Linked DNA regions of Canis lupus familiaris. The protein of the gene in region 1 purifies or fractionates together with the protein of each later gene. This does not show direct contact. Links are inferred from orthologs where the notes say so. Each region holds a gene or a part of one and is shown on either strand. Other genes may lie near its edges.

Region 1 (3,747 bases):
GACAAAAATGTGTCCCCTCCTCCCAAAAAACCTCCAAATGTTAATTGGTTTAAAACAAACACCCACCCCCCCAAGCTTATCCTACAATGTACAAACACAAGAAACTGCTTGGTCAGGCAGTTTCACAGTCCCCACACCTACACTGAGTTTCCAATGGCATGTTTACATGCACGTTAATATGACTGACACTATCTACAGAAGATTATAAAATACATTTTCCACATATAGGAGAAAATGCAGCTGGATGAATTTATTTAAAAATTAAAATAGGTTCTCTCATTAATGAATAACTCAGACTGAATTTACAAAGCTAATTTTTTTAAGTTTCTTATATGCTTGGGTTTAAATGCAGGGCTTTTAATGCTCTTGTTTACTGTACGCCATTAGACATTTTTATTACTCTGCTTTTACACCTTGAATTATTGGTTGTATAACCTGTACCAGATAATTTGGGTAAATAGTGAGATAGGTTAGTTCCCAAAACAAATTTTCCATTTGTCTGAGCCACATCAAATCTATGTAAAAAAGTGCTTTGAAATGTTGGGACAGAACTAAGGGTAGGATGGTGGAGGAGGAACAAGGTCAATAAAAAGCTAATCCCATAACCTCTAAATATTACTATTTTCAGATGTGAACTCATTAATACACCAAATTCTTGAAAGGTAGCAACTAAGATCTTGCTTCGCTATTTTTATCCCACAGATCAAGTGAACAGAATCTAAGTAACACTACCCTTTGGATTACTTATCAGTTATGATAGTTTGCCAAATCAGTTGTTTAAATGTTGATTACACGGCTAAACAGGACAATCCAAAATAGCTGAGAAAAGACAGCACTGATCACCAAAATTTTAAGCAAAATGGCAAACAGGTGAGATTTGACTTCAGTGTTTTTCTCCTTTCCCTTTCTGCTACCCACAGGCTGTTTCTAGCTATCTCACCCAACTTCCCTCTTAAAAAGGCTCCCCAACAGGAACCTGACAAAATTGTAACTGATAAAGCATACCTTCTAGTATTCAGATTTTAAAATAAGGACAAATTAAAGCAAACAAATCAAGTAAAAGCAATGTCTGTGAACAAGGAAATTCTTCTTACACTTTCTCTCATTGTGCCTACTCCAAAAGACGGGTATCATTTTACATTTCGAAATTTTACATTTTCGAAAAACTATTTTAAATAATCATGTAATACAAAATGAAAAAAACAAGATTATTACAAGCATGAGAACCTACTCCCATTTTCAATCAGGATATAGTTAGAATCTCTTCTCCAAGTGAGAAGTATAAATGCTTTATGGAAATATACGGTCTCACCCCAGTTCTTCTAGATTCTTCAATTAAACTTAATACCTTTATATCACAAAGTCAATCTAGTAAATATTAAAGGAAAAGTAATTCAAACGATCTAAATCTCAGAATAAGGCGAGGTTGGCCCCAACTTTAATTCTAGGTCTAAGCTAAAGTACCTGCACTACCTTTTCCTCTCATCCTCCACTAGTATATGTAGCAGCCACGACCCACCCACACCCACCTTAAGTTAGATCTCAGTTCGCCCAAACGACTACTTGCAGTTCTAGACTCTCCAAAATCTTGCTAATGACTGACTACCCCGCTAAACCCGTTAACAATAATGTGTCAATGGCTAATTAAGCGACCCCGTAAATTACATCCTTGCATTTTACAAAGGCCTTTAAGCCCTTAACCCAAAGGACTGACAACAGTCATAGTGGAACTTGCAAGAAAGACAGATTTTGGAGATAATTGGCCTTTCAAATCACAAGGTCTAAGTTCCCTACTCTTTCTTGTGTATGGAAGCCTTTCTAGAGTAGCAAGACCGGAAGTTGGTACAGGTATTGTTGATACTAAACAAAGCAAAAAAAAAAAAAAAAAAAAAATTCCAGTTGAGTGGGGCACGCTCGCCCCCTAGCCCCATGTCCTCGCTCAGTCCCCAATCAACGAGAGCGGGGTGACCAGCAGCGGAGTCCGAGGCGGAAAGACGGGGGCAGAGTGTTTGGTTTCAGGCCCGAGAGCCGGGACGGGCAGGTGGGGTGCAGGGCGAGGCGAGGCGAGGCCGGCGTGGGTCCCGGTTACCTGCGGCGAAGTGGAGCGGGGTGGATTTCCTGCCAGCCGTGTCGCGGCTGTTCACCTTCTCCGGGGTCACTAGTCTCTTGACTCGCTCCACGTCCCCGTTGCGGCACGCCTCGAACAGCTCGCGGGCGCCTGGCTCCACGGCCTCGGCCGCCGCGCCAGCGCAGGCCGCGCCCCCGCCGGCGCAGCGGCGGCCCGACATGATCCTGGCCGCCGCCGCCGCCAGCAGCAGCGCGAGCAACCGCAGCAGGAGCCCCGGCCCTGCGAGCAAGAGGGCGAGGCCCCCTGAAGGAGACGCGCACAGGGCCCGGGCCGCTCGGCTCCCTGCTGTCACCGGGCTCGGCGCAGTCCCATGGCCGCGCCACCGCCCGGCCCTCGCTCGGCCCCGCGACCCCCGGCTGCCCCTCGGTGGCGGAGGCAGCGCGACCCCGCCGTTCCAGCCCTGAAGCGACGCGGCAGCGGAAGCTGGCAAGGCCCCTCCTGCCAGGTCCGCGGAGCCCTGGGAGGGCCGGTGACGTGGTGCCGCGCGTGCGCAGCGATCGGAGACCGGCCCGACCGATTTCCGCGCCGAGGCCGCGCGGAGGGGTTTGTGGGTAATGTGAGGCGAGGCTCTTCGGCGGCTGGAGGAGAAGGGGCTTCGTCCCACCGCCATCTTTGCAGTGGGTCAGGCTGAAGCCGGGTGGTTTTGTTTCGCTTTGTTAAGGCATGGATTTCCCGAGCTGAAATTCCTTACTGTTATTACCCTGAAAAGAGCCTTTGGAAGTGTCCCCGCGATCTGGCGTATTGCTTTGGAATTCTTAGTGTGGAAATCCATTTTTCAACTTTCACAATCCCTTTCCTGGGGGGGGGGGGGGGGGGGGGGGGGGGGTGGATTTCTTTCCCGTTTTCTTTCCTGTCTTTTCCCTTGCCTTGCAACTGCTATTCTGTTGTTTCTTGTGAGTCACATGTGGAAAACGAATGGGTTGTTTCCCACTTCGTGGGAAGTTTGGATGAGCTGCCCCAAGTTCATTTAAAGTAAGTTAGGAAAGTGATGAAAGTGTGTTCCGATTCTAAATTAATTGAGAGCGATGGTTCTGATACGTTACTCTTCCACAGTCATTAGCTCAGAACTTACGAACGGGCCCACGAGTGTATCAACATTGTACTGACTTGGCTGAGGTGTGGACACAGTGGGCATACGCATCGCAGACAAAGGTTAATAGTTTGCATTGATATATATTAATTTATATAATACTTACATATAATATACGAATTATATATAATTACATATTAATATATGTACACATATACACATATATAGGTCTGCATACGTATATAGACCATCAAAGAAAAGCGCACAGTTAATTGTCACGCTTAATGTAGTGATCCAGCTATTCCCTACTCCAGGCCCTGGCCTCAGGAAACTGCGTGAAAGTGAGGTATGGTTACATGAAATGACACATGTTGACCTTTGGCATGCTGACAAGCATTTTTCCCTTGTTGTCTTTAACTTCTTAACCTGTTTTTCAGGAAATTCAGTTTCTGTTTGGGAATGTTGACTCACTACTGTGCAAGAAGGTAGAGGATGTATGCTTTTAGGAACATTTTTGTACATATATAAGTTATATAATTATACATACATAATTATATATGTCGTGTAAATTTAAATTATATTGCATAAA
Region 2 (3,747 bases), on another chromosome or scaffold:
CTTGGTCAAGTCATAACTCCCGTGTCTTAGTTATTTCACCCTATTCTGTATTTCTGTAATTCTAAATAGTTTAATTAACAGGCATTTAACATGTTTTAATCAATCCAAAAGGTAATAAGCCATAAACACTAAATATTCCATAAATAAGCACAAGTGGCTATAGGAGAATATTAATAAAATGGTTTCCATACCCACAAAGATTACTCCTAATCCAACCTGATGTTTCACAAACTCAGATTCCTTAGACGCAATCAGGAACCAAGTGAGGGAATGGAAAAAAGGGGTCAGCACCCTCTGTTACTGACACTGGGGGGAAAAAAATTCAAATATCCAGCTGACAATGTATCAGGCATTTCATGCCAGTAAATGCCTAATACATAAAATACTATTGTCTAAACAGGCTAGTACTGTGAAAAGAAAACAATATTCTCTAAACAGACTAATGTTTTGAAAAGAAAAGATCCAATACTATTCTTTTTCTTCTATACCAAGTCAAAACATTTCTGGATTCTTTAAAAAACAAAACAAAAAAAAAACAAAAACCTGTCCTATTCTTTTAACAATTCAAATTGGTGGAAACAGAAAACAAGATGCTTCACCCGTTGACACGTGTCTCCTAAAAGAAAAAACGCCATTTCCTTTTTCTTCCTTCTGAAGACCAGCTATTTGGAAAACTAGTGTCCCTGATGTTATAACTCTATCAAGTCTTTAAAATCCAGGAAATAACAAAACCCTCAAATATTTACCGTGATTTTTATTTTCCCTGCAACTTACATCAGCCCATCTGAAACATAAATTCTAAATCAAAGAGCCGGCTTAACAAAATGTTCCAATTTAAGATACACGAGGCTAAAGCAAACACATCCAAAGCCTATTTCTAGTCTGGCTTTTGCTTTTCTGGTTTTCTCTTTAAAAAGAGATTTATTGGGGCAGCCCCGTGTGGCTCAGCGGTTCGCGCCTGCCTGGGGCTCAGGGCCTGGCTCAGGGATGGAGTCCCACGTCGGGCTCCCTGCATGGGGTCTGCTTCTCCCTCTGCCTGTGTCTCTGCCTGTGTGTCTCTCAGGAATAAATAAAATATTTTTAAAAAAGATTTATTTGACCTATTTTCATGTGTTTTTAGGGCACTCGGATACTCAAGACAAACAGTATTTGTTGGTCATGGAAACGGCAGAGCCAGCATCATAAATCCTGTTACTCCTGGGGGTCATCTTCGTGTGTCCCACACTTCAGGTCTTTTTAGGAGTCCAAACACAGACTTGTCATTTGCTAAAAAGACAAAAAGTCTTAAGCCCTCCGGTGTCTGTAATCCTACAGCGCTTTCAACGCCAGTGTTACGCTTTCACATCCCATCTGAAAAGTACACACACCGGAGGTGGGGGTGGGTGGTGGTGCCCGGGGCACCTGAGACGTCAGGCTCTGAAGACAAGGCTTTTCCCATCATTTCTTGGCTGGCTTCCTCCCCCGACTCATCACTGCTCCAACATCACAGAAAATCTCCCTGAAACAGAAACCTAAGTACTTGTGAAACTTGAAAAGCGTCCCTGAACCGGCGCTTGGGGACAGAGAAACAGCGGCACAGACCAAGTGGGGCCCGGGGAACGCTGTGGGGGCCCGACGGGGCGTGACCCCGCGGGGACACGGGCGACCGCCCAGAGCCGCGCTCAGACGGGCGGGGGGGGGGGGGGGGGGGGGGGGGCGCGGGGCGACCCAGGCAACCGAGAACAAAGCGGCGGCCTCCGCCTCCAGGACGCCCTCCCGGGGGGGGGGGGGGGGGGGGGGCTCACGGGGCTGCAGGCGCGTCCACTGCTCCGGAGCTTTGCTCATCATCACCCAAACAAGGACCAAGACACGAAGACGCGGCGGTCTCACGGAGGGCAAGGCTGAGGGGCTGCTCTGGGTGTTGGGCAAGACCCGGACACTCGGGAGGATGGGGGGGATGGGGGGGATGGGGGGAGGAGGGGAGGGGGGACGATGGGAAGGACGGGGGGTGGATGGGGAGGATGGCGAAGAGGGGAGGATGGGGGGAGGATGGGGAGGAGGAGGATGATGAGGAGATGGGGAGGGAGAGACAGAGGGGGGGAGGATGGGGAAGAGGGGAGGATGGGAGGGGGAAGGATGGGGGAGGAAGGGGGAGGATGGAAAGGGGAGGGGGGGGAGAGGAAGCAGCCAAAAACGCTCCGGAGACAGACACAACGAGGGACCGCATGCCCCGGCTGCGCGGCGTCCCGAGGCCCGGGAGGCCGCCCCGCGGGAGCAGCAGGACGCCCCGGGCGGAGGCCCGACCCCGCCGCCGACGGGAGGGGAGGGGAGGGAGGGGAGGCTCCGGCGGCTCCGGCGGCCCCGGCGGAAGCGGCTGCGCAGTAATGGCCGCGGCGCCGCCTCTCGCACCCCGGCCGGGGGCAGTGCGGGGCCGGCGCCCGGGGCAGGGGCAGGGGCCATGGCGCCCGTCGCAGCCTTTCCGCCGGCCCCGGCCCTCCGGCGCCCGAGCCGCGGCCCGCCGGCCCAAGGGCGTCCACCTACGTCCCGGCCCTGACCCCGCCGCCGCCGCCGCCCCTCGCAGGCCCGCAGCGCACGGCCCACCGCAGCGCGGCCCGTCCGCCGTGACACCGCGCGCCGCCGCGCCTCGGCCCCGCCAGCAGCCCGCAGCGGCCGGCCCCCCGCCCCGCGAGCGCCGCGCCCCGACTCCCACCTCTCGGGCGGCCGCCGCCGCGCAGGCCTCCCTCTCCGGCCCCGGAGCCCGCAGCGGCCGGGAACGCGCGCGGCCGTCACGTGACCCGCCGTCGCGCCGCGGGGGGCGGGGCCGCGGGGGCCGGAAGTGGAGCCCGGGTCCCGCCCAGGCCCCGCCCAGGCCCCGCCCCGCCCTCCCCGCGCGCCTGCGCCGGCAGGTGCGCTGCTCCGACGCCGCCGCGGGGCGCCTCGCTGGACGCGGGGGCATTTGACACCTGCCGCGTTCGCTGTTGGCGGCCGAGCGATTGGATCGGAAAAAAGACAAAACAAAACTTCATTTCCTTTTGCACCTGTTTTCCTTCGACTGGAGCTTAGGAAGCTGGAGGAAGGGATTGATGAGCAGGAGGGTCTGGGACTAAAGAAAGGGCTTTTCTGGCTGCACCGGTGCGGTTGTGAATGTCAGAACCTGGGCAGTAGCCCCCGCTGCACGGTGGCCTATGCCTTGTCTTCCTCGGAATCCTATGTTTTTTTTCTCGATTTATAGTAAAATGAGGAAGGGGGAATAGCATGCATTGAAACAGTGTATATACATATATATTCCAACACCCCATGTTTCTTACTTGCAGTGCTGTTGCATTTGAAGGTTGCAAATTTTAGGGTCCCTGTATATGGAGAGAGGCCACATTTTTTTTATTCTTCTGAAATAATATTTCAAGGTATATATATATATATATATATATATATATATATATATATATATCAGGATACAGCTAGTTCTGGAAGAGGGCCGCCTGGCTCAGTGATGCTAAATGATGTAAACAAAAGCAGTATTTTTTTAAAAAATAAGTTCTGCTAGTGTAATAATGTCCAGGAGTACGTTCTCCAGCTCTAAGCTTCATCCTGTCTTTGTGTTCTCCTTAGCCACTCCTCTGACCTACACACCCCACGAAAAAAATAAGGCCAAAAATTTGATCCGTACTCAAACATTCCAGCTTTAAGATATAATACTATATGGTTGGCAAATTGAACACCAATAAAAAATAAATTTATTAAAAAAATAAAATCCTGAAAAAAAAGATA

The links. The genes of interacting proteins can lie anywhere in the genome.
Region 2: the proteins of TNKS2 (region 1) and RNF146 purify together in Homo sapiens (co-immunoprecipitation; 3 studies listed by BioGRID and IntAct, with this or other methods). This does not show direct contact. The link is inferred for Canis lupus familiaris from reciprocal best matches to the Homo sapiens genes TNKS2 and RNF146.

What each region holds. Positions count from the first base shown.
Region 1 is NC_049249.1:6,462,350-6,466,096, reverse strand, and holds the start of TNKS2 (poly [ADP-ribose] polymerase tankyrase-2), read right to left. Parts: upstream 2,304-3,747; 5' UTR 2,289-2,303; coding exon 2,090-2,288; intron 1-2,089. UniProt on the Homo sapiens protein: Poly-ADP-ribosyltransferase involved in various processes such as Wnt signaling pathway, telomere length and vesicle trafficking.
Region 2 is NC_049222.1:66,547,747-66,551,493, reverse strand, and holds the start of RNF146 (E3 ubiquitin-protein ligase RNF146), read right to left. Parts: upstream 2,801-3,747; 5' UTR 2,690-2,800; intron 1,906-2,689; exon of another isoform or gene 1,785-1,905; intron 1,499-1,784; 5' UTR 1,368-1,498; intron 1-1,367. UniProt on the Homo sapiens protein: E3 ubiquitin-protein ligase that specifically binds poly-ADP-ribosylated (PARsylated) proteins and mediates their ubiquitination and subsequent degradation. May regulate many important biological processes, such as cell survival and DNA damage response.